7 linked regions of the Sus scrofa genome follow. The protein of the gene in region 2 purifies or fractionates together with the protein of the main gene of each other region. This does not show direct contact. Links are inferred from orthologs where the notes say so. Each region holds a gene or a part of one and is shown on either strand. Other genes may lie near its edges. The genes, in order: DAAM1, RHOA, ROCK2, MAP3K1, C14H1orf198, ATP1A1 and MPRIP.

Region 1 (2,630 bases), on a different chromosome or scaffold from region 2:
TGGGGTTGTATTAATGATTCCATAATTGGCTATTTTCTAATCGAGACCCAGGAAATATAGTAATACCAGCATTATTTACGATTAGGAAAAACAACTAAGAAACAATGTATCCCATTTGCTTTTGATATTAACCACATGGCACCGATGAGTGATATTAAAGTACTTCAAAGAAAAGCTAAAAGTACAAAGTTCCCTTACCCCTGCTGCGTTTGCCATTAGTTTTACGTCCTTAGTGCTCTGCCCTACCATATTCTGCTTTCTTGTTTTTACTACTGTTTTAGTCAATAAAAAGTCATAGGATGTAATCATAGGTGTTAAGCTGAAATGAGGTGGAGAAGAATCAATGGTCTCCAAAGTCAAGGAGTATTAAATTTCCTCCTTTAGAAATGAGAGTCATGTTCTACAACCAGAGATAAATCCCGTGCCCTATATTTGACTCAATTTGAGCTTTAGCCCCTCTAGAGAGATTTATATTTATTTGATCATGGCATTCCCATGGAACACTGAACTTCGTAAAACCTTCTTTTTTTCCAGTTTACTAAAGCAGTGAAACACTTTGGAGAAGAGGCTGGCAAAATACAGCCAGATGAGTTCTTTGGCATTTTTGATCAGTTTCTTCAAGCTGTGTCAGAAGCCAAACAAGAGAATGAAAACATGAGAAAGAAGAAGGAGGAGGAAGAGCGCCGAGCGCGCTTAGAGGCTCAGGTAGGAGGGTGATTAACTTGCCAGTTCCACCTCCTGGACGTTCTGTCACCTCATCTCCTTGGTTTTCAGAAAGCATTCTGATGTGCTGACAAGGCGGGCATCAGAGATGCTCTTGGGAGCTTCCATCAGTGGAAAGTCGGCAATGTGACAGTATATATCTAAAGCCTGAAAAATTACATCCACATCCTGTGACGTGCAGTTCCACTTTTTAGAAATCATTCTAAAGAACTCAATCATCATAAATGTGCATGAAGAGACCAATAACCTTTATAATAAGCCCTAACCTGGAGACAACCTGGGTATTTACCAACTGGGCATTAGTTAAATGTTGTAATAGCTACATAATGGAATATTTGGCAGTCCTTAAACTTCATGTCTTTAAAGAATAGTTAATGATGTGAGAAAGCTTATTTCTACATGAAATATCTGTGTGTGTATAAAGTTGTGTTAATGCTGGTGGGATATATCCCCAAAAGGTTCATAATGGTTATCTCTTGATAGAATTAAGGATGATTTTTCTCCCCTGTGTTTATCTGAAGATCTAAATGTTCTATAATGTATGCGTATTATTTTGCTTTTCATAAACATACTCTTTAGTGGGTTCCAGGCATCCACAGTCAGAAGAGCCTAGGCCTTTGATGTCAGCAGCATGGCCTAATGAGCTTTGGCTTTAGTCTCTATACCATCAAAGCAGCCGATATTTGGGGTCAGTTTAACTGAGATAACTTTCTCATTCCATCATAGAAGAGTGACTAGCCTCAATTCCTTTTTTTTAAAAAACTAGACTATCATGAGTTTTACATAGATTCTAAACAGTGAGAGTGTAATCACAAAGGAGATGGTCAATTTTTTCATTGTTCCTTGTTTTTTTGGTTTTTTAGGGCCATACCCACTGCATATGGAGGTTCCCAGGCTAGGGATCAAATCCGAACTGTAGCCACCAGCCTATGCCACAACCACAGCAACGCAGGATCTGAGCCGCATCAGTGACCTACACCACTGCTCATGGCAATGCCCGATCTTCAACCCACTGAGCAAGGCCAGGGATCGAACCTCTTGGATGCTAGTCAGATTTGTTTCCCCTGAGCCACAATGGGAACTCCTCATTGTTCCTTGCTTCAATGATGAGATCTCACATCCCAATCACCCTCTCTTGTGACATACAAAAGGGACGGCAGTTGTCAGTGAACATGACTCATTGTGACCGAGCCTCGGCCATGTTCCACAGAATTCGTCTCCACTGAACGCAAAATACAGTGTTTTGACACTTCTCTAAGAGGTTGCTTTCCATTTTCGCAGCTCAAAGAACAACGTGAAAGGGAACGGAAAATGAGGAAGGCGAAAGAGAACAGTGAGGAGGGTGGAGAGTTTGATGACCTGGTTTCAGCTCTGCGCTCAGGAGAAGTGTTTGACAAAGACCTTTCTAAACTCAAACGGAATCGCAAGCGTATTACCAACCAGATGACAGACAGCAGCCGTGAGAGACCAGTCACAAAACTCAATTTCTAATTTTCCTGGAAAACATTTTTAGAAAGCTCATTAGCAGCCCTTTGAAGTGACTAGAACTTTTCATTACACTGCCTTGCAATCCAAACAGTGGCAATTTCTCCTTTCATCTGTGAGTGAGTGGATGTGTGAATGTGTATGTAAATGTATGTGTGTGTATATATTAAGAAATGTATATAGAAGTCTGAGTGTTGTCTGGAGACCTATATGTTTGGTTAAAAAGAAAAAGAAATCTATGTTTATGTATGTGCTCAGAACCCCTTTGTATATGCATTCATATTGAGTGTGGCTCATCTTCCCCTGAACGACGACTGTTCAGAAGCACAAAACTCTCTCCTGAAAGAGAGAAACAGAGACATTCCCTAGACTAAAAAGAAAAACAAAAGAAAAAACAAACAAACAAAAAAGCTTGAGAAATA
Region 2 (3,500 bases):
CTGGTATTTCAAATGATTTGAGTGGCTTTAAAAAATGAATGATAACCAGCTGGAGTTTGTGTGTGACTCAACAGGATTGGCAGCACTTCTGGAGCACTGGGATGCAGGTTCAATCCCTGCCCTACACAGTGGGTTAAAGGAGGATCCATTGTTGCAACTGTGGCTCCTACCTGATCCCTGGCCCCAGAATTCCATATGCTGTGGGCTGGCCAAAAAAGAAAATAAATAAATAAATCAAAATAAATGATAACAGCTGTAGCTTCTTGCCAATACTGCAGTAATTTAGAAAGGTTGTATGTACACCATGGTGTACAAGTGGCCTGGGTTGAACTTCCCATATCTGCCACCTTGAGCATCTCAGGGTCAGAGATACTATAAAACAGGTTAACACTAATATCTTACTTAGTTTAAATGGTCCTGATTGTAACTTGAGACTGAATTTTCTTTTTTCCTTTTCTTTTTTTTTTTTTGTCTTTTTGCCTTTTCTAAGGCCACTCCCTCGGCATATGGAGGTTCCCAGGCTAGGGGTCAAATCTGAGCTGTAGCTGCCGGGCTATGCCACAGCTCACAGCAACGCTAGATCCTTAACCCACTGAGCAAGGCCAGGGATCAAACCCGCAACCTCATGGATATTAGTCCACTGAGCCTCATTTATTGTTATTTTTTCTTTTTTTTGGCATCCCCATGGAATATGGAGTTCCCAAGCCAGGGATTAGATCCAAGCCACAGCTGTGACCTACACCACAGTTGTGGCAACAGTGGATCCTTAACCCACTGTGCCAGGCCAGGGATGGAACCTGCATCCTGGTGCTCCAGAGATGCTGCCAATCCCTTTGCATCAATGGCAGGAACTCCAAGGCTGTATTTTAGGAGTAAAGTGTTCACTCTCTGACCTCAACACATTACCAAAAGGCAGGAGTCACTGAGAATGTGGAACCACAGAACTCTCTCTCTCACAACACCGGATCCATAACCCACTTAGCAAGGCCAGGGATTGAAACTGCATCCTCATGGATATCAGTCAGATTCATTACTGATGAGCCACAATGGGAACTCCAAAAGCAAGTTCTCTTTCAGGTCTTGGTGCCTGTTTTTGCAGTGTGAAGTCAGATTCATTCATTCTTTTTCTAAATGAAAGGACATTCTGAAACATGGGGCCAACTGAGCTACTGGAATGGTCAGGTTCAAGTCTTAGCTGAGGCACTTTATTATTATTATTATTATTATTAACGATTTTAATTTTTCCATTAAAGCTGGTTTACAGTGTCTGTCAATTTTCTACTGTATAGCAAAGTGACCCAGTCATACATACATATTATATATACATTCTTTTTCTCCTTCCATCATGCTCCATTATAAGTGACTAGATATAATTCCCAATGCTATACAGCAGGATCTCACTGCTTATCGAGACATTTTATAAAAGAGCTAAAATACGGCTTTAAAAACACTACCAAGATGCAAACTATTATACATAGAATGGATAACAAGGCCCTACTGTATAGCACATAATACTTCCACAATGGAAGAGAATACTTAAAAAAAAGAATGCAATATAACAGAATCACTTTGTTATATAGCAGAAATTAATACTACATTGTAAATCAACCATACTTCAATTTAAAAAAATTTAAAAAACAAAACAAAAACACTTTGAGGATTCAACAAATCAGCAGTCCAGACAGTGGGAGGCAGTAGGCTCAATATCAACTACTTAACACCCAAAAAATCCTTCCCCAAATCCTAGTCTAAAAAATAGCTTTGTATTTAGAACCTACCTACCTTCCAAGATGAACATGGCAGCCACAGGAGACCTAAGCTGAAAAGGGATTTGGGGCTCAGGCTCTACAGTCCCAAGGCTCTAGGACCCTGGCAACTGATGATTCCTTCTCTGAAGCTCATGTCAGTTTTTCAGCCATTTAAATGCCCAGAAAGGACATGAGAAACCAAAGGTCGGCCAAGTACACAGGCAGTGACAGACATTAGGCTACAGGGCTACTCACCTAAACTATCAGGGCTATCAATAGAGAAACACATCAGTATAACATCAGTATCCGGGTAGGAGAGGGGCCTCAAACGATCATAATCTTCCTGTCCTGCTGTGTCCCACAAAGCCAACTCTACCTATGATAGGAAAAATAAACATAGAGTACAGGTTAATCCCATTACTTACTTTCAGAAGAAGTGACACTTACCATAGTACCTTCAAATGACAGACTGTTCAAAACAGTAAAATACAGATTGGAATCAAACCTGAAGGTGCTAAGAGGTATTTACACTGTTTTAGGTTACAATTTCTCAAAACTGCAAATTTTATAGACAGATAATAGAACTGAATAAAGTACCTAATTCGAAATGTTCAGTCAAAAATAACTTTGTAAAAAATAATAGTAACTAAAATAACTTTGTAGCTTTAAGTATTTAATCATAAATAACATTCTATATAGGAAAGAAAGCAGATGAACAAGAAGAGAAATCAATTATAAATAACATTCCACCAGGTATACAAAGCAAAATAGGAAAAAATCAAAATAAGTAACTTTTCCTGTTAAATTCTCTCTTTTTTTTTTTTGGCCTTTTCTAGGGCCGCTCCTGCAGCATATGGAGGGTCCCAGGCTAGGGGTCTAATTGCTGGCCTACATCAGAGCCACAGCAACTCGGGATCCGAGCCACGTCTGCGACCTACACCACAGCTCATGGCAACGCCGGATCCTTAACCCACTGAGCGAGGCCAGGGACCGAACCCGCAACCTCATGGTTCCTAGTCAGATTCATTAACCACTGAGCCACGACGGGAACTCCTGTTACATTCTCACTTAACCATTTCCTTACTTTGTCTCATCATTCTGTTCCAATGTGGAAATAAGATTGTATTTCAGTTAGTGGTTAAGTAAAGACACCATCCTGGGTATCAGGCAAGGTCTGAGCTGACAGGATAGGCCTATTATTGCTCAAAAAATGAATGAATGGCTGGATGAAAGCATCACATAGGTAGGAGGTTCTCCTTTCATACCTGGGAATTGGATCACCTTCCAGCAGTAGGAAGGCAAATTGATGCCTGGGCTTTGGACATAAGGCTCCCTTTCAGCACTGCAGCCAGCCCTGTCACTTCTTACCACCACAATGAGATTTTTACAACCCTCTGTTCAGGGGCCCTTTGGGGCTCAAGGAGTTGCCCCTCCAATGCCTAGAATATCCTTCTTCCCCAACATCTTTTTTTGGGGGGCTTTTTAGAGCTCACTAGCGACATATGGAAGTTCCCAGGCTAGGGGTCAAACTGGAGCTGTAGCTGCCGGCCTCCACCAAAGCCACAGGAACTTGGGATCTGAGCCATGTCTTCGAACTACACTACAGCTCACGGCAACACCAGATCCTTAACCCACTGAGCAAGGCCAGGGATCGAACCCACGTCCTCATGGATACTAGTCAGATTCATTATCGTGGAGCCACAATGGGAATTCCTCCCTCTAACATTTTCGGAGCCTGTATTTCAGTTTCTA
Region 3 (3,500 bases), on a different chromosome or scaffold from region 2:
TTTCGTGGGAAATCAGCTGCCCTTTATAGGGTTTACCTATTATAGAGAAAATCTGTATGTGATTTGTTTGTTGTGTTTTTATTGTTTGTAGGAGCTATCTATAAAGAGTTGTCTTACTTCGAGACTCTGAATTATAGAAGACAAGGTTAATTTGTTTTAAACTGAGTTTTTTTCAATGAATATTATATGATATTTGTTTACAAATCAGTGTGAGGCAATAGTCTGTATTGTTGGGGGTATGTAAAGTAATACCAAATACCTACTTTTGAAGGAGCTTGTCAACTAATAAGGGATATAATTGTGAGAGTTATATAGGCATAATGAAGGGTAGAATGTGATATTTGCCTTAAGAAAGTTACCAAAAAGATCTGAGATGGTTCCGAAGAAAAATAAAAGTTCTGTCTCATTGGGGCGAGGGTGGGAAAAGTCAGGTAAGACCTCAGGAAAAAGGTAGCATTTTAGCTGAGACTAATGATAAAGGGTTTTGAGTGACTGAGATGTAGGGAGCTTGGGGGAGTATAGTGGCGAGGTGAATAATAGAATCAAAAGTTTGGAATGTAAGCATCTATTGGGGACAGAGTGGTACAGTCCAGGAAGGCTCAAACGTAGGGTAAATGTCACTATGTTAGGAGGACCGTTTGGAGTATCTAATGGGACTGTATTTTTCTTGCCTGTAATTCTCCCATCTGGTGCAGAGCCTATTACAAGATCGTTTAATAAATATTGGTCAACTGGAGTGAGTATTGGCTATAAGATTAGAAAACAGATTGGAGATGGAGCTTAGCGGAAGCTTAATAAAACGGTTGTTGTGTGCTGTGCTAAGGGACTTTAGACTTTGACAGGCATTGAGGGGCCATTGAAAACTGTTCAATAGTTGAGTGAAGCGTTAAAGACATTTAAGAAACATAGATTTGAGAAATTTCTTGTACTTCCATGTATGTAGTGGTTGGGGTGATCAACCATTACGGTTTGGACTGAGGGGTTTACTAGGATGTGGTGTGGGACTTTTATGCTTCACCTGGGAAAATCCCAGCAAACCAGGTTGAGTTGTTCATCCTGCTAATGATAGTGCTCTGAAAATTGTTGTAATGCCGACTAAAATGAGGGTATCAGTGCCAGGCATGTTTATAAACAGTGAGAGAGGAGTTGGCAGTTGAATAGATGTGATGACTTAGGTATTAAGATCTGAAGATCCAAAGGTGTTGTCTTTGAGGGAGTTCCCATTGTGGTGCAGTGGAAACAAATTCACCTAGTAACCAAGAGGATGCGGGTTTGATCCCTGGCCTTCCTTGGTGGGTTGGGGATCCGACATTGCTGTGATCTGTTGTGTCGGTCCCAGACTTGGCTTGGATCTGGTTTTGCTGTGGCTGCGGTGTCGGCCGGCACCTGTAGCTCCAATTCAACCCCTAACCTGAGAACTTGGCATATGCCGCAAGTGCGGCTCTAAAAAAAAGGAAAGAAACAAATGTTATCTTTGAAAAGGAGAGATGTCTCTTTCTAGAAGATTTCTAGAAAAGAAGGATAAAATAGTTGAAGTTCCCGTCATGGCTCAGCAGAAACGAATCTGACTAGCATCCATGAGGATGCAGGCTCAATCCCTGGCCTCCCTTAGTGGATTAAGGATCCGGCATTGCTGTGAGCTGTGGTGTAGGTTGCAAACTCAGCTCAGATCCTGCATTGCTGTAGCAGTGGTGTAGGCAAGTGGCTGCAGCTCCAATTGGACCCCTAGCCTGGCAACCTCCATATGCCGCAGGTATGCCCCCCCCCCCCAGAAAAAAAAGAAGAAGAAGAATAAAATAGTCATAGAGTCATAGGAACTCAAAGGAGAGGGAAGAAAGTATACAGTGCTGCTTGGTGACCCCAGTCTCAACAATGTTGAGGACTAGGACATCCACTAAGAGTGAGAGGCAAGAAATATTTAATGTTTTAAATGGTCGGAAATGATATAAATCTCTAGAGGGGAAAATATTGCTTCCTTTAAAATATGTTGAACTGAAAAGAAAGATAATCTTTGTGGTTGGAATTTAATTCTGAGGATGACTTTGTATAGAAAATGAATTAAAATGACATGCAAAATAATTTCTTTCCTGCTTTTCCTTCTAGGTTATTAAGTGACTCTCCATCTTGTAAAGAAAATGATTCAATACAAATAAGGAAGAATGAAGTATGTATAAATTTTTACTACTTTATTTGTTTTTTTGTCATTTTGCCCTTTTCTAGGGCTGCATCCCACGGCATATGGAGGTTCCCAGGCTAGAGGTCTAATCGGAGCTGTAGCCACTGGCTACACCGGAGCCACAGCAACTCGGGATCTGAGCTGTGTCTGCGACCTACACCACAGCTCATGGCAACGCTGGATCCTTAACCCACTGAGCAAGGCCAGGGATGGAACCTGCAACCTCATGGTTCCTAGTCAGATTTGTTAACTACTGCGCCACGATGGGAACTCCCTTTACTACTCTATTTTAATCACATGTTCAAATATTTTAGTAATATCTGTATTTTAAAAGTCCAGTTGATGCCTCTTTTAGATGGCATTCTTTGTTGCAATTCAGTTCAGCATAGCATTGAAATGATTCATTTATTTGACAGGTATTGTATGGAATCCAGTGGCTGATGAGAAGATGAATTATACATGGCTTTAGGTTTAGTTTTAGTACCAAAAGTGGTAGAATAGGGTTACAAACAGCTGTATTTTCTACCAGCCAGAAAATTTTATCTTAGTACTATAAAATGTTCAGATAACAAGCTATAAGGATTCAGAAATAGTTGAGAGATTTAAATTTTGAGTATTTAGGAATGAATTCACATAAAGGATAATTTTATCAAAATGTTATAGTATTTTATAGCCTCTGTACTTTGTAACTATATACAAAGCTATATCGTGCACATAAATGTGGCTGCTAAACATTTTTCTCTTCAAAACATATAAAAACTAAAAAAATTGGTTGGGTCATTTTGGTATGATTTGTGTTTTAGGAATTTTCACAAAGCATAGTAATCTTTTTGATGTTTTTGTGTTTTGTTTTAAATAGGAAAGTCAAGAGGTATGTTGATGTCGAATATGTTGAAAAACAGACATACTCGTCACTCTAGCAATGTTCTGATGTAACCATATCCTACCTAGCATTTGGAATACTGCATCTACCAAGAGAGAAGTTCCTAACCTTTTTTCTACCAAGTATTTTTTTTATTATTGCTCCTATGGATTTTTTGTTTAAAAATGTATATTGCACATTTTTTGGTTTTTATTTATTGAAGATATATACCTAGCAGCAAGAACTTTTGATTAGCATGTGGTAACTAGTATGATCAAGTTATACTAATGCAGGAGCAACCAAAAGCTGTTAAACTTTACTAGTTCATTGGCCTGTCTTTTCTTACTAGGGAAATAATACAGTTTTGCTTAAAGATATATGAAATATATTAGAAATCATGGAGAACTAATCACTAGAAAGAATAGTGGAAAGAACCTTGCTCTTAGAATCTAATAGACTTGG
Region 4 (3,500 bases), on a different chromosome or scaffold from region 2:
CTGAGGATGAAAAAGCATTTAAGCAGAAGAGAAAGTAAAGGAATGGAAACTGTCCTTACAAATAAAAATGACTAATACAAGGCAAATACCACATATTTTTTCTTACTCATCCATTTAACAATTTTTTAGTACCTAACATATACCATGAAAAATACAGAAAGAAGAAACTGACTTTAAATGGAAGCAAATAAGAAAATGACAGAAATTCTTGGAAGGAATGGGATTAAACACTGGGACAAGTTACTATTAAATGGATCCTCTATCCTTGGGTAAATGTTTATGTCTGTCAGTTCAGGAAGATGTTTCTAGAGATGGGAGGTAAGACTACAAAGAATTTTTGAAGTTTAACTCTGTAAGTGGCATAGTATTAACACCAAAGGTAAAATGAAAATTCTCAATGAAATGAGTCATGATGGAGATAAGCAAAAGTACTTTCTTAAATTATAAACAACTGGGGAGACAACTACATTAATTGGTCTATAAATGTTTCATGGAGAACTGAAGAATAAGAACTACTTACCTGAATCCATGGCTCAGCTAAATCTTTATAAGCAGGAGGGATCTGCTGAGTTCCATAATGAGTAAGGTTAAAATTGCTCTCCTGATTCCTTCGTTGTGATCCAGCTAAGGGATGCTGCTGTGTGGTTTGCTGCTGTGCAGCTCGCAGGGAAGAAGGGGAATCCACAGGGCTTGACAACTCATGGCTAAATGAAAAATTAACAAAGCTTGCTAAAAAAATTAACGGATTTAAATAACACTCTGAGAGCATTTTTATTAAACATACCCAAATCATTAATTCATAATTTTTACCTGTAAAAATCATGGGATCTCCACTTAGACCTACAAAGGGGGCATATTAAAGGTTCTCTATTTCTTCTACATTCTTCTGCCCCTGAAAAATTAAGGAAAAAAACACTGACAAAAATATAAATATTTAACATTAAGTATTTATGTAATAATTGTTCATAATGGTTAATCTAGAATTTATATGGAAGGAACCTCAAAAAATTCTAAACATAGCAGGTTATTCTAATGCTCGTAATTTCTGCAAATGCTATTTTTTAAGTTATATAAGATGTATTTTATGGACTCTCTTTCAAAACATTCTGCCCACTTGATAAACTGGTAATGCTATTCCAGAGCTTGCTTTGATGTTACCTTTTCTGGAACGCCTGTCCAGGCCTTCCTACACCTCCTTCCCCCAATGTGCACCTTCCAGATCACAACTCTAATTCTGTGAGTGACTTCCACTACCACACGTGTCACACTTTCTAACATTTCTTTGCTCACATAGTTCATCTCCTAAGAGATCCTGAACTACTGTTCATTGAAAACTTCACATATAGCGTAAATATACTTCTTTCCTTCTCTCGCTAGTCTCCCCAGAGGCTATGTTCAAGTCCTGAATCATAGTTAGCTCACAGAGTAACTGTGTTGAATAAGCATAGGGAAAAAAAAGCCACATACAGATTGACATGCAGTGGTGGTGCAGCTTGTTCCTGCAGCCATCTTCACACACTGTAAGACTTTCTTCATCAAGCATACCCAACAAGCAAATAGGACACATCTGTTCCTCTTCATCTTTTATACTATAAGGAAGAGGAAACAAAAGCATTATCCACAAAAGAATGTAAGAGAATTAATGCCATATTGCTAAAAACAATTTTGGTTTCTTTGGACTATGAAAAATAATTTAAAATTCTTGTATAGGTTATAAGAGAAGTATTTCTCCTGTTAATACACAGTAATTCTGAATCAGATTCACACCATTATGAATTTACAGGTTGTGGGTATGGTTTAACCTTTTCTTGCTATGACTATAATTCAATATATGAACTACAATCTTAAGAGAAATATGTGTCCCCAAAATTCTGTTATTGGACCTTTTGAATAAACAAACTGCTAATAAGGTTTAACTATGTACAAGCATACTATATGCCAACAGTTTCAAGATTTCAAGTATTGGAAGAACCACAGAGCTCATCTATTCCACATCCTTAAGTATTAAGACCCATATCAGACACTTTTGGTAGGTTTATAAACTGATCCAACTTTCCTAGAAACAAATATATCACATTTTTAATGCATATAACCTTTCAACTAGCCTTCAAGGAATATATCATAAGGGAATGGACACAAATAATAAAGATATATTTGTGTGAATGTTCACTGCAGTATTATTTGGCATATTGGAAAAAAAATCAACCAAGTGAACATCAAAAAGTGTTTTAAAAAAATGGTACACCAAGACACTATGAAGTCTCTGAAAAGGATCAAAGAGATCCATGCATGATGACAAAGAAAAATATCCATAGTATGCTGTATGGTGAAAAACAACAGATAACATGACAGAATTCTAGCTTTTTTAGAATGATTCCATTTATGGCAAAATTATAACTTTATTATGTATATTTGAATTATATATATTTGACTATTCCTATTATACGAAGTGGATTTAAAATTGGTAAAAAAAATATTAACAGTAAAATGAGAAAAGAAGATAAATGAAAAATACCAGTAGCCAATAAATTTGGAAAAAGTACAAAATACATGTTAAATTAATAAAGCTCTATCTTATTTTATTTGTCTTTTTTTCTGGGTTGGTGGAGGATAATCTGACCCACACAAATTAAATAGGTTGATAATGGCACAGGAAAACAGGTTCTCATATATATTACTGGTAGGAATAAAAAACCTGAAATTTTTGGAAAGGAATTTGCTAGTATTTCTTCAAGTACTAAATGTATATACCCATGACCTAAAAAAAAACCTATTTTCTAGGATGCTGTCTTACAGAAGTATTTTGTGTGTAAACAAAAAAGAAAATTTTTTGCATTTAACAGGCAAACAAAAAATCAAAAGTGTTACTAAATGTCCATTAATTATGGCAATGGTAAAATATATTGTGTCTCATCCATTCAGTCTTATGTAGCCAGCTACTAAAAGAAAGTAGTGTATATTTTTGTATTGAGGAAAATTTTCTTGATATATAAAGTAAAAACATTTTTTAAATTTAAAAAAAAAGTTGCAGATTAAAATATATAGTTTTATATTTATTTAAAAATAAGAAAGATGAGAGTAGTATTGGTGTGTGTGTGAATCTGCATAAGCACAGAGTACAGAGAAGAGTTTTTAAATTCCTTGCTTTTTATAATTTGGGAGGGGGCACCTGCAGCATGTGGGAGTTCCTGGGCCAGGGACAACCTGTGCCACAGCAGTGACCCAAGGCACTGCAGTGACAATAACAGATCCTTAACCCGCTGCACCACAAGATAACTCCTAATTTTTAAAAGATGTATTAAACTATTAACAAGTTATTTTGTGTGCAGCCCAGAATGAAGGGCAAGGTTTTATTTCTATTTACAAATTTTTGTTTGAACCTTCAGGATGTGATGAGTGGCTTTTAAAATCAGTATTTCCATTACAACATAAAGACAAGATTCTGAGTTATTATAAATAAGTTGCCCAAAATCACAGAACAGTTTGTAGCAGATTTATCA
Region 5 (4,296 bases), on a different chromosome or scaffold from region 2:
CAGCCTTAGGAAAAGGCCCTCAGAGCCCAGTATCCCAAGTGGTCTTTCCTGAGTATCTACGTGGGCCGCCCTGTTTATCATCCAAGGTCAGACACAGGCTAAAGCAAGAGCTGGGGTTCACCTGAGCACCCATTCATCAGCAGGCAACTGGAGATGCTGGGGGAGGGTATGGAGTGGAGCTAGGAGGGCACTGGAGGGTGCTGGGGAGCATTCTCTGTTCCAGGAGCAGCCGGGAAGGCCCTGAGAACCACATCTGAAGACAGAGCAAATGGGAAGGGTCGGACTGCCCTCCTCAGTCTGGTTCAGGGCCCTTTTGGATACAGCTGGGGCCACTTATTCAGGCCACTCTGCCCAGCAGCCTATCCTCACCTTGTCCTTTGCCTTGTGCCCAGGAGCCCGCCTTCCTCCACAAATGGCCCTCCTCCTGGGCCTGAGACAACAGGTCCACTCTGTTACCAACCTCTTGCCAAGTACCAGGAACACGTTGTAGACACTCCAGTGCAATTAAATCACACTGTATTTTGCTGCAGGCAAAAATACACCCTAGGCAATGTCCCTCTGTACCTCTCCTCAAACTCTCTCTCTGCCATGCGCGCTGAGAGGCTGGTCAGAGGCATTCCAACACACGCTCCCAGCCCATTTCACAAAGCTGAGCTCAATTCTGAAAACCAGGGCCCTTCTGCTCCCAGAAGGACAGGTAGAGACCACAATGAAAAGTTCCGTTGGCTGTTAAATGGCTTTAGGTTTACAGATTCACAAATTCACTAACAGCTTGGTCTGACGCCCAGGTAAGGAATCAAGAGTAGAAAATTGGCCATGTCTTCTTCCCTTATCAGCCACACTGGGCCCTTTTAGGGCCTGGGCTTGTTGATGATGAGCAGGCATGTGTATATTCTTAGCCGGACAGCAAGCTCAGGGAAAATGACAGTCACGCTCCAACATCTCTAAGTACTTGCAGGTTTATGTCTTCGCATAAGTCATGTATTCCTAACTTTTCCAAAGAGGGCCTGCCTGCTTTTCCATCACCCAGATCTGAGCACCAACCCTGCAAATGTCTTTGGAGAGGTGCATGTTTTCACACTAAAAATGTTTCAGCTCTAGGAATATATTTCAAACCTATATTCTCATCTCTTCCGTTTACCACACCCTCGTTTTTCCTGGCAAAGCCTTCTGAGACTTTTCTTTTAATTCTGTCAGGATATGGCAACGCTGGCAGCATATTTCCGTCCTCTCACACTTCCCTCGCATTCAAGTGGGTTTATAGCCACAAACATTTTGTATTAATAAGTGTCTCAGCACACCCACGCCTAAAACTCAGATTTAAGCCTCATTCTTAACTAGAATTCCTTCCACCGTTCACAACTTCCTCGGAAAACCTCTCCAAGCCCAGCCCCTCCTCCCCGCAGCCTCCAGGCCCTCACAGGATGCCAACCTCTCAGTCTGCTTGTCCCACTTTGACCTTCACAGCAAAAGTTGAGTTTGAAGGCAAATTCTAATGGCACCCAACAGGTTTTAGGTAACCACATTCCCAAGAAAAAGACCAACTTTCTGGGCAGCACAGAACAATTTTGTGTGGGTCATCCCTGAGGTTTCTTCCCTGGGGTCTGAGTCTTTTCTCCCTTCACAATGACCGCCCCTCCAAAAAGTCCCGGCACAATGAATGTCTAGGTCAGAGGCCCATGCATGCCCTTATATGTACCAAAGTCTTCCCAGGGCTTGTGTAAACGTCTACATTAGCTTTTTGGTGGGAAAACGGGACCACCAAGCTCACTCCCAAAACAAAGCTTCACAGCACGATTCCTCGGAAACATCTTAGGGCTTCGGATTTTGCCTCCTAACCCTGGAAGGCACCTCTTCCTGCTTGTTATCTTCACAATTTCACGCTCCCCACACAGCTCATCAATTAATATTAATATATATATATAATTAATATTAATATATATATATATATATACAACTTGCTGATCGCCTTCCCTGGCAGGCCTGGGATGGGTACTACTATTCCCGGTTTCCCCGGGGGTACAGAGGCCCCAAGAGGTTAGGTGACCCATGGCCAGACAGCTAAATGGCAGAGTGGAACAGAACTCAGGTTTGCCTGGCTTTAATCCCTTGCTCTTCTTGCCACTTCGGTCTGCCTTTTAGCTCTGGGAGCGGTTTCGGGTCCCATGCTGCCCGGCGGGGCAAGTCGCGGTGGAGGGTCTAGAAAGACCTCCTCTCTGAGATACTCCAAACTATCCCCGGGAGCCCCGGCCCCCAGAGCTCCGGATCTGGGCCGTCCCTCCCACCCACTCCGGGTCCTGCACCTTCTCCTCTGCAGCCCCTGCCCGCGCGCCTGCCGGCGGCGGCCACTAGCCGGCAGGTGTCCGCCCGGCCGGGGGCGCTCGGGGCGCGGGTAGGGGCCCGGCCCGTACTTACCTCGTCCCCGAAGCGCACCACCTTCTGGCCCGTGGGCCCGCGCAGCCCGGGGAAGCGCGCGAGCTCCTCGGGGTCCCCGGGGTCGCGGGGCGCGGGGGCGCTCGGCCCCACCAGGCACCGGTCGATGATCTCGTCCTGCTGCGCGGGCGGCAGCCGCGCCCACTCGGGCCCGTACTTCTCCCGGATCTTCTCCTTGTCCTGCATGATCTTCCTGGCCATGGGGCTCAGCGACGAGAAGTAGGTGAAGCGCTTCCGCTCCCTGTCGTCCAGAGGCCGGTTCCCGCTCATGACCGCCGAGCGCGAGGCCGCGATCGCCGCCGCCATGGACGCCATGCCCTGCCAGCCCGTCGCTCCCCGCCCGCGCCGCCCCCACCCCCGCCCTGCGGCCCGAGCACCGCCCCCCGCGCCGCCCCGCGAGCAGCGCCCCACTGCCCCCGGGAACCCCGCCTCCCGAGCCCGCCCACCTCCTGCAGTCCCACCCCGTGCCCGCCCAACTCCGGCGACCCCGCCCTCCGCGCCCCGCTGCTTCCGGGAGCCCTGCTCACGCCCACCTCTTCCTCCTGGATCCCCGCACTTTGCGCCCCCCACCCCCGGGGAACCCTGCCCTCCGTGGGCCCCCCGCATCTGGAACCCCACCTCTCATGCCCCAACCCCGGTAACTCCTCCCACTGCGTCCCTATCCCCGGGAGGCCCGCCCTCCGCGGCCCCCACTCTCGGGAACCCCGCCCCCTGCGTGCCACCCCGGGAACCCCGCCCCCTACGCCCCCACCCCCGGAACCCCGCCCCTTGCATCCGTCCACCCCGCCCCCGAGAACCCCACCCTCCGCGGCCCCCACCTTCAGGAACACCGCCTCCCGCATCCTCCCACCCCCGGGAATCCCGCCCCATGCACCCCCCCAAGGATCCCGCCCTCCGCTCCTCACAGCATCCTCCAGATCTGCTGTCTTCGGCTTCCGTGGTGCCTCCACTTTTCGGGGCTTCCCTTGGCCAGCGCGGGAGATGACTGGCGTGTCCCCAAGTCTGCACCCGGCGTTCTGGCAGGATTGCTGGTAGTGACCGCCATAGCGCCACGTGGTCGCTTGACAAAGGAAACTTTTCTCTCCCTCCGCTGTGCTTAAGAAAGCCCGGCATTTCTGGACTGAGCCAACGGCCGCCTTATTCCTATCATGTCCCTGTCCCCGTTGAGCCATCTTCGCTTTCTTTGAGCCATCCCAAGACCTGGGCCAGGGTCCCAGAGCGGTGAGCTGATAGAAGGGGTGGGCGCCGGGCAGCGAGGGCACGGAAGAGAGCTGGGGAGACTGGACTGGTGTCGGGAGTGTTTAAAGAAAATCATTTCCCGCGCCTCCTGAAAAGACAGGAGTAAAATGAAGCGCCAGGTAGCTTATCCTTATAGCGCTTTTCCCCAAAAGGAGAGAGCTCGGAACTTCTGGGCAGGCATCGGGCCGGCGGGCTGGTGAATCTGTTCTTCGCTTTGCTTCTGCAGGTGAAGGCGTTTTTCCGAAGCCTGCCGAGTGGCCTTTGCGTTCTCCAAGATTTCCTTTGGAATCTCAGAAATCGCAAAACTCTTGGCAGTTGGATGTTTGCAAACCAACTGAAGAGCAGCAGAAAGTTTTCAGGCAGAGGAGTAGTTGAGTAGAGGAGTCGTTTCATAGGCATCCCAGTAGTTGGGGGCCAGGTGTGTCCCAGAATACATCTATCAAAGTTGTGCAGAGCCCTGTCTGCTTTTCTATCTTGGCTGATTTGCACAACACTGTAACAGGTCTCGGACTAGATTAAATGTCCACATTTAAAACAAAAAAGACCGTATTTCAGGTGTTACTAAGGAGCTTTGCGTCTAAAGTAACACTTGGAGGAGTTCCCGTCGTGGCGCAGTGGTTAACG
Region 6 (3,500 bases), on a different chromosome or scaffold from region 2:
GGCCACCCAGCTCCAGGTAGGCGTTCTGAAAGGCGTCCTTCAGCTCCTCGTCCAGGGGCTGCTCCTTGCCGTGGATGAGGATGGAGCTGCAGCGGTCCAGGATCCTTTCTGGAGCACCTTTCATCACCAGCAGGTGCCGGGGCTCAGCCGTGTTGGGGTTCTTGTGGATGGACAGCTGGGAAGGACAGTGGAGGTGTAAATGCTGGATGGCCGGGCGTGGTGGCCCCAGGAGGCAGCTGCACTCCCTTAACTATTTAGGGCCTGTTTTGAAAAAATACCCAGGATCCCCTCCCCCGATGAAACACGCTTTGAATGCTACGCAGGAACCTCGCACGGTGAGGTGCTCATATATCCCTGACATACGTTCAGATCCAGAATTTTCCAGAAGAAAATTCAGAATGAAGGGATGGCACACACGTGTGCACCTGCGGCCCTACCAAGCCCCCTCCCCCCAACACCATGCTCACTCCGACCCCCACCTGAGAATGCAGAAGGGCCCCGACTACATTTTAAAGGAGGCTTCATTTATCCCACTGATATTCAAACAAACCAGAACGTTCTTTCTACCTGCAGTCAAGGTAAGACATAAAGCTAAAGCATTTCTGAAAAGCGTGCGTAATTCATTTTAAGAAAGCAGTTGCGCGTGTACAATTCCCAAGGGGAAGACGGTTCTCCCAGCTCCATCTTCGGACCTGGTACTTGTTGGTGGAGTTGAAGGGAATCTCGACGATCTTGGTGTATCGCTCCCTCATCTCCTTCACGGACCCGCAGCACAGCTCGATGCACTTTAAGAGCGCGGACTCGGAGGCGTCGCCCGCCACTGCCCGCTGCAAAAGAGACCCTCTGTTAGTCCCCCTGCCAACAGGAAAAAGGAGGGGGAGCTCGGGCGAGGAGGCGCACAGCTGCCGGGAGTGACCGGAAGCATCTCGGCCCTTCGGAAGCAAACTGCAACCTCCTCCTCCTTGCCAGCGGGACTCCCCCCCCGCCCCAACTTGGTGCCTGAAGGTGTCACCTCCCCGTGGGAGAAGGCCAACACCCCTCCCCACCTCCTTCAGTCTCTCGTTTTAAAAAAATTTTATTGAAGTATAGTTGATTTATGCGGTTGTGATAATTTCTGCATCATACGCACATCCATTCTCTTTCAGATTCTTTTGCCATGGAGATTGTCAGAGAACACCTGGTACAGTTCTCTGTGCTATCCAGCAGGTCCTCGTTGGCCAATCCGGCCTCTTTTTTTTTTGTTTTGTTTTGTTTTTTACTTTTCCCAGGCCTGCGGGGAAGTCTCTGAGCCAACACTATTCCCAATCACCTATTTGGGGTTAGGAATCTAAAAGTGGAGAGTGAGTCAATACGGCACGCTTCTTCGCCCTGCAGTTTAAAAGAAGATGCCTTGGGTTCTCAGGACCACAGGCAAACTGTCTGTGTCAAGGGCAAAGCCGAGGACTTGACATTCCCAACATAATTCAATTGTGCAGAATTATCTGGGGCTGAAGGGTGCGGACTGAAAGCTATGATGAGCTCCAATGGTCATGTAATCAGCCTAACGTTTTAGCGAATGCCCCCACTTCAGGTAACACATAGTTCGTGTGATGTACTGTGACACACTTACATGGTGACATAGACTGAAAACATTTCCAGCTATCGCCAACTTATACAGAGAGAAACATTTTTGAACTCTGGCATGCCGGGCCGTACATGTAGATGAGCAAATTAATGCCCACTTACAAATGCAGCAGCCTTGTTTAATAAATGTGGCCAGGTTTGGTGAGAAGCATAAAAGAAGTGGGATCATTTTAGTAAAAGGCCACAGTTATTGAAGCAGAATAGGCCTGCATGGTTTTTTTTTTTTTTTTTAATAATGCCATTAAAATAACATGGACCCAGAGTTCCCTAGTGGACTCAGCATTGTCACTGGCCTGAGAACTTCCATATGCCTTGGGCATGGACAAAGGGAAAAAAAAATATATATATATATATATATATATCCCCCCAAAACTCAAAAAACAAACAAACACCCCATGGCCCCAAGCCCCTGAAATAATTAGAAATATATCACATGCTACCTTTCTGGAGCTTTTTTTTTAATTATTATTTTTTGCTTTTTAAGGCCCACCTGCAGCATATGGAAGTTCCAGGCTAGCGGTCAAATCGGAGCTACAGCTGCTGGCCTACACCACGGTTACAGCCAGGCAGGATCCAAGCTGCATCAGTGACCTACACCACAGCTCATGGAAATGCTGGATCCTTAACCCACTGAGTGGAGGCCAGGGATTGAACCCTCATCCTCATGGATAATAGCTGGCTGGGTTCATTAACTGCTGAGCCATGGACGGAACTCCCTCTGGAGCTTTTAAATGAGGCAAGGTTTGATACTTGTGAGTCTCTGTGCTCATAGGCTAGAAAATTTCCACTTTGAGGTAAGGAAAAACATGAAATGAGCATCTCAAGTTTTATCCCAAGATAAACAATATCCTCCTTAAATCAACGTCAATTCAATGCCAAGAGATCTCCTTTACGGAATCAAGGAACCCCATGTTCAAGCCACCCCAGTTCCACCAGAACTATATTCGCTGACCGCTTGGCTTCTACCCAGAACCACCACAGGGGGCGTTGGTGAGAGTGAGCCCACCCAGAGGGCCCCACACAACTCTTTCTCACCCTCAAGGACCCTGTGCAGCTCGTGACCTTTCTGGGTCTTCGACTTTTACTAAGCAACACAGTAAAATCTCAGTCATTTCAAATTTCATGTGAATTCCATGAGGCTGAGTTTATTTTTGCATCATTAGTAGGCAAGCTAAGAACAAGATAAGAGAAATAGCTGAGCTATTTTAAGAAAATAAATGGCTTACGAGATTTACTGGAATCTACCGTATCCTAATATGCAAATGCGATTATTGAGTCACACAAGCAAGGAGCCCTCACTGTCCACTAGGTTAGGGGATTATCAGATAAATTCAAGAGCAGTCAAACTGGATTTTGGGACTTAGGTTTTTTCCACCAGTAAAGACTGCCTCCCCCCTCCCCCAAACCTCCTCTGGTCATTTTTTTTTTTTTTTTTTTGGTCTTTTTAGGGTTGTACCCCCTGCACATGGAAGTTCCCAGGCTAGGGGTCGAATCAGAGCTGCATCTGCCACCCTACACCACAGCCGCAACAACACCAGATCCGAGCCACGTCTGTGACCTACACCACAGCTCACGGCAACACTGGATCCTTAACCCACTGAGAGAGGCCAGGGATTGAACCTGCGCCCTCATGGACACTAGTCGGATTTGTTACCGCTGAGCTACAATGGAAACTCCTCTGGTCAGTTTTTAACTATATATTCCCCCCTTTATGGACCTATTTGGACCACAGGTACTGTAAATCCTTTGGGATCTACAGGCAACACAACTCATTACACACAGCAAAGCATCCCATGGACTGTTCCAAGTGTCCTATGGTGAAGTTACTTTAAAGCCCCCCAAGGTCATGTGCCACTTAAAACACACACACATATAGG
Region 7 (3,500 bases), on a different chromosome or scaffold from region 2:
GGGCAGAGCCCAGGCACCTGGCTCTCTGCTCCCACCCATGCCCCCAGGCCGAGCCAGGGGCCAGCAGGGCAGGCGCGGCCGAGGGCGGGCAGGCGGGCGGCAGGAGAGGGCGCGTGGCATGAGTGCAGGAAGCCAGGTAGCGGCGTAAGCGGGCTGGCCGAGGCATCCCGTCCTTGACGGTTGTGGGTGGTTTGGAGGAGGTCCCGGGCCCGCTCAGGCCTTGGAGCCGCATGTGCAACAAGAGCTCTCCCCATCGGCCCCGGCCTGGCCAGCCCGGGAGGGCCCTGGGGAACAGCGCCCGCCGGGTCACATGCGAATCGCCTGCCACAGCACTGCCAGGGCAGCGCGGGGTCAGCTGAGAGGAGGGGCGCAGCCCCTGCGGGGCTCTGGTGAGCTGACCCTGGCTGACTGTGCCCAGGGGGGCCTTTTAATCGTGGGTCCCCTGGAGTCCTGCAGGTAGGACAGCAGAGCCTCTCGGAGGGGCTAGTGACGGACAGATCCGCCTCCCCAGGTTCTAGCTGAGGGGCAGCTGGGACCACGGGCAGCTGGCCCTGGTGCGGGGCACCAGCAGTTCAACAAAGGCCACGCCTCCCCACGCTCGCTCGGCACTGGCTCACAACCCAAGAAGTGTTTCACAGGCTCCGGGGTCCGTCGGTGGACCCCTTCAGGGCCACGGCCCATCCAAACTAAGCCCCGAGGTCCCCCAGCCGGGCTCCTGGGCAGCTGCGCCTCTGGGGACGGTGGCCGACCTCCTGCCATCTGGGGTTCGGTTCTACACAGACATTGCGGGGCTACTCAGGACCAGAGAGCAGGCCTCGGAAAGTGACAACAGCCAGTCAGATGTCATCAGGGTCAGTAAGAAAGTGACATTACAGCGTTAGGACACAGAGGTGAGGGGCTCAGGGAGCCAGCACAGGGGAAGGCCCACCCCCACGGTGGCAAAGAGCAGGCGGAAAGCAAAGCCCCAGAGATGCCGTCTACCCCACGCCGCCAGCCGAGAGGGATTTAAGCCAAGCAGGTGTGCTGAATGTTAATTCTTTGGTCACCGCCAAACCAGGTGTGGCTGCCCACTCAGGGGCCTGCAGGACGCAGCGAGGAGGCCCCGTGGCCTCCTGCAGCCGGCAAGCCGTTCACGTGCAGTTACGTGAGTTAAGGACAGCCTTGGCCTCACCCCGGATCTGTCCCAGGAGCAGGGCCCTCCCGTTCCCGGGCTGGGCCTGGGCTCGGTGGCACAGCTCTGCTGGGCCAGGCTGTCCCCCTGAGGTGTCCCCTGCTTCTCGACCCCGTCTCTGCCCCCATGTGCTGGGATGGCTGCTGATGCCCCGGGCAGACAGACCGGCTGGGAGGGTGCCTCTCATGAGGACTTAAGCACGCTGTCCCCTTCTCCCCCCAGTCACGGGTCCCCAAACCTGGAGGGGACACCGAGGAGGTGGTGGGTGGTAAGCAGCAAGGGGGCAGGAGAGCAAAGCATCCTGTTCCCAGCCGGCCTCCTGGCAGGGAGCCCGGGCCGCCCTGGTCTGTCCCCATAGCGTGCCCCAACTCTGAGCTGGGCTTGAGCTCGGGGTGGACGGGGAGGACATGCTGCAGGTGCTTCTGGAGCCTGGGTCTGACCCTCCTTCCTAGAAGCAACCTCTTTGAAAAGGCTTTGCTCTCCCTGCTCCCCGAAAGCATGCAGATGCTCCAACGGCGGCAAGGTCCCCGCGCCTCCGGTGGCCCCCCCACGCCCCGGGCAGAGGCTCCAGTCCAGCTGGGGGTGGACGCCCTGGCGGGAGGGGTCCTCGGGCGCTCTGGGGCAGGCCTGGGCTCGTAGGCCTCAGGGACGGAGCCACACTCCCTCCCCAGCTCTCGGGGACGCACAGGGGCCCCCACCCTGAGACCCAGTCCAGGCCCACGGCTCCACCTGACCCAGTCCCGGGCCCACCTCCAAGCCCCGCCTCTCCCCAGGCTCTCGTGTGGACGAGGGAGGGCGGGGGGAACACGTGTGCCACTAGCGTGTGCGAGTGTCCGCAGAAAGCCCTGAGGGTGGGGAGGGCGTGCGCTGCGGTGCCTGCGCCAGACCCTCCAGCCCCCTCTTACCTCCGCTCGGTGCCAAACAGACGGGCCACCTCCTCCCTGCCAGGGCTCCGGGCCCGTGTCCTACGCTCCAGCCGCCTTCTCTCCACCTGGAAGGCTTCTCGGTGGCTGATCCTGATGGCCTTGGGGACGTCGGCCAGGGTGGCATACTGCCTGCCGGCTTTGAAGGCGGAGGCGGGCCCCAGTCTCTCTGCTCCCCGCCTGCCGGTGCTGCCGGAGTCCACGTGGGCCTGGGGCCGGCGGGCCGCGTCCAGGGAGGAGCTGCTGCAGACCCCTCGGCCCGGGTGCTGTGGACCTGGCGGAGGAAGGGGACGACCCGGCTCCGGGGAGGGCGGTCCGGGGCCACTGTACCTGGTGTTGGGGGCGCTGGGGCTGGGAGGGGAGAGCGGCGGCGGCAGCTGCTGCTCCTCGGCCTTCACGTCCTGCTTGGTCTTCTCCAGGGAGAAGTAGCCGCTCTCCACCCGGACTTTGCGGCCGCCGTCCACGCGGTCGCTGCTCGTGGCGCTCTCCTCTGGAAGAGCGGGGACAGGAGACGTGCTCGGCCTGCCGCCACCTCTGGTCCTAGGATCTTTCAAGAAGGGGCGCAGCCCACCCCCGGCCCTCCCTAACCAGCTCCCGTCAGGCCAACAGGGGTCGCTGAGCTTCTGGCCACACACCCAGGAGGACCCCAAGGGCCAGCCGGCCGTGCAGGCTGAGCGCATGGTCTTGGAGGGCGGGGGGAGGGCTTGCAGCAGCGGGAGGGTGAGCGGGCTGGACATGGGCGGTGTGTGTTGCCAGGGGAGGGCCAAGCCGGACCAAGCGCATTCTGCCTGAGGGACCAGGGCCAGTCTCGCTGGCCCCCTCAGCCCTAGTGACCTGCTTGGACAGGAACAGGGAGGCCAGCCCGGGCCGTGCAGAGCCCTCCGGGCCCGGGCGGGGGACGAGGAGGCACCTCCCAAGTGCAAGGAGGCGGAGCACCAGTGCCAACCGTCTCCTCCGCGGGGCCTTCCGCCCCCGCCCCATCCAGGGGCCGGGCAGGACGGGACAGCGAGGGCAGCGGGGCCTCTGGTGCTGACCAGCCCTGACACGAAGCGGCACCGGGCACAGGACCCAGAGGCCCCCGTACACGACCCCAAGGCCCAGAGTCGTGGTCTCGCAGCCCCTGCTGGGCCCCGAGCAGGGACGTCCTCCTGCCTCACTGACGGGACCCAAGAGCTGGAAGGCGGGTTGGGCTCCGGGCCCTGAGTCCCAGCACCAACTCCGTCGGGGGGCCTGTACTAGTGCCGTCTCTGCACTCTGTACTTACCGTCTCTGCTCTCCAGCCCTGGCTCCCGCAGGGTGCTGGCGGCAGGAGGCTGGCTCTGGCTTGGACTCTGGGCCGGACTCAGGCTGCTCCCATCTGACTGGTCCTTGGCCCGCATTTCTTCCTGCCAGAGTGTAGACTTGGT

Evidence for each region.
Region 1: the proteins of RHOA (region 2) and DAAM1 purify together in Homo sapiens (co-immunoprecipitation; 6 studies listed by BioGRID and IntAct, counting the BioPlex papers as one, with this or other methods). This does not show direct contact. The link is inferred for Sus scrofa from reciprocal best matches to the Homo sapiens genes RHOA and DAAM1.
Region 3: the proteins of RHOA (region 2) and ROCK2 purify together in Homo sapiens (affinity purification with western blotting; 3 studies listed by BioGRID, with this or other methods). This does not show direct contact. The link is inferred for Sus scrofa from reciprocal best matches to the Homo sapiens genes RHOA and ROCK2.
Region 4: the proteins of RHOA (region 2) and MAP3K1 purify together in Homo sapiens (affinity purification with western blotting; 4 studies listed by BioGRID). This does not show direct contact. The link is inferred for Sus scrofa from reciprocal best matches to the Homo sapiens genes RHOA and MAP3K1.
Region 5: the proteins of RHOA (region 2) and C14H1orf198 purify together in Homo sapiens (co-immunoprecipitation; 3 studies listed by BioGRID and IntAct, with this or other methods). This does not show direct contact. The link is inferred for Sus scrofa from reciprocal best matches to the Homo sapiens genes RHOA and C1orf198.
Region 6: the proteins of RHOA (region 2) and ATP1A1 purify together in Homo sapiens (affinity purification with mass spectrometry; 3 studies listed by BioGRID and IntAct, with this or other methods). This does not show direct contact. The link is inferred for Sus scrofa from reciprocal best matches to the Homo sapiens genes RHOA and ATP1A1.
Region 7: the proteins of RHOA (region 2) and MPRIP purify together in Homo sapiens (affinity purification with mass spectrometry; 3 studies listed by BioGRID and IntAct, with this or other methods). This does not show direct contact. The link is inferred for Sus scrofa from reciprocal best matches to the Homo sapiens genes RHOA and MPRIP.

The regions. Positions count from the first base shown.
Region 1 is NC_010443.5:188,506,335-188,508,964, forward strand, and holds part of DAAM1 (disheveled-associated activator of morphogenesis 1), read left to right. Parts: intron 1-534; coding exon 535-705; intron 706-2,004; coding exon 2,005-2,214; 3' UTR 2,215-2,630. UniProt on the Homo sapiens protein: Binds to disheveled (Dvl) and Rho, and mediates Wnt-induced Dvl-Rho complex formation. May play a role as a scaffolding protein to recruit Rho-GDP and Rho-GEF, thereby enhancing Rho-GTP formation. Can direct nucleation and elongation of new actin filaments.
Region 2 is NC_010455.5:31,921,708-31,925,207, forward strand, and holds part of RHOA (transforming protein RhoA), read right to left. Parts: intron 2,125-3,500; coding exon 2,004-2,124; intron 1-2,003. UniProt on the Homo sapiens protein: Small GTPase which cycles between an active GTP-bound and an inactive GDP-bound state.
Region 3 is NC_010445.4:125,454,073-125,457,572, forward strand, and holds part of ROCK2 (rho-associated protein kinase 2), read left to right. Parts: coding exon 1-54; intron 55-2,103; coding exon 2,104-2,164; intron 2,165-3,035; coding exon 3,036-3,047; intron 3,048-3,500. UniProt on the Homo sapiens protein: Protein kinase which is a key regulator of actin cytoskeleton and cell polarity.
Region 4 is NC_010458.4:35,924,301-35,927,800, reverse strand, and holds part of MAP3K1 (mitogen-activated protein kinase kinase kinase 1), read right to left. Parts: intron 1,590-3,500; coding exon 1,468-1,589; intron 893-1,467; coding exon 811-892; intron 705-810; coding exon 521-704; intron 1-520. UniProt on the Homo sapiens protein: Component of a protein kinase signal transduction cascade. Activates the ERK and JNK kinase pathways by phosphorylation of MAP2K1 and MAP2K4. May phosphorylate the MAPK8/JNK1 kinase.
Region 5 is NC_010456.5:59,515,258-59,519,553, reverse strand, and holds the start of C14H1orf198 (uncharacterized protein C1orf198 homolog), read right to left. Parts: upstream 2,801-4,296; 5' UTR 2,749-2,800; coding exon 2,416-2,748; intron 1-2,415.
Region 6 is NC_010446.5:104,363,017-104,366,516, forward strand, and holds part of ATP1A1 (sodium/potassium-transporting ATPase subunit alpha-1), read right to left. Parts: intron 828-3,500; coding exon 693-827; intron 176-692; coding exon 1-175. UniProt on the Homo sapiens protein: This is the catalytic component of the active enzyme, which catalyzes the hydrolysis of ATP coupled with the exchange of sodium and potassium ions across the plasma membrane.
Region 7 is NC_010454.4:61,109,405-61,112,904, forward strand, and holds part of MPRIP (myosin phosphatase Rho-interacting protein), read right to left. Parts: coding exon 3,359-3,500; intron 2,585-3,358; coding exon 2,077-2,584; intron 1-2,076. UniProt on the Homo sapiens protein: Targets myosin phosphatase to the actin cytoskeleton. Required for the regulation of the actin cytoskeleton by RhoA and ROCK1.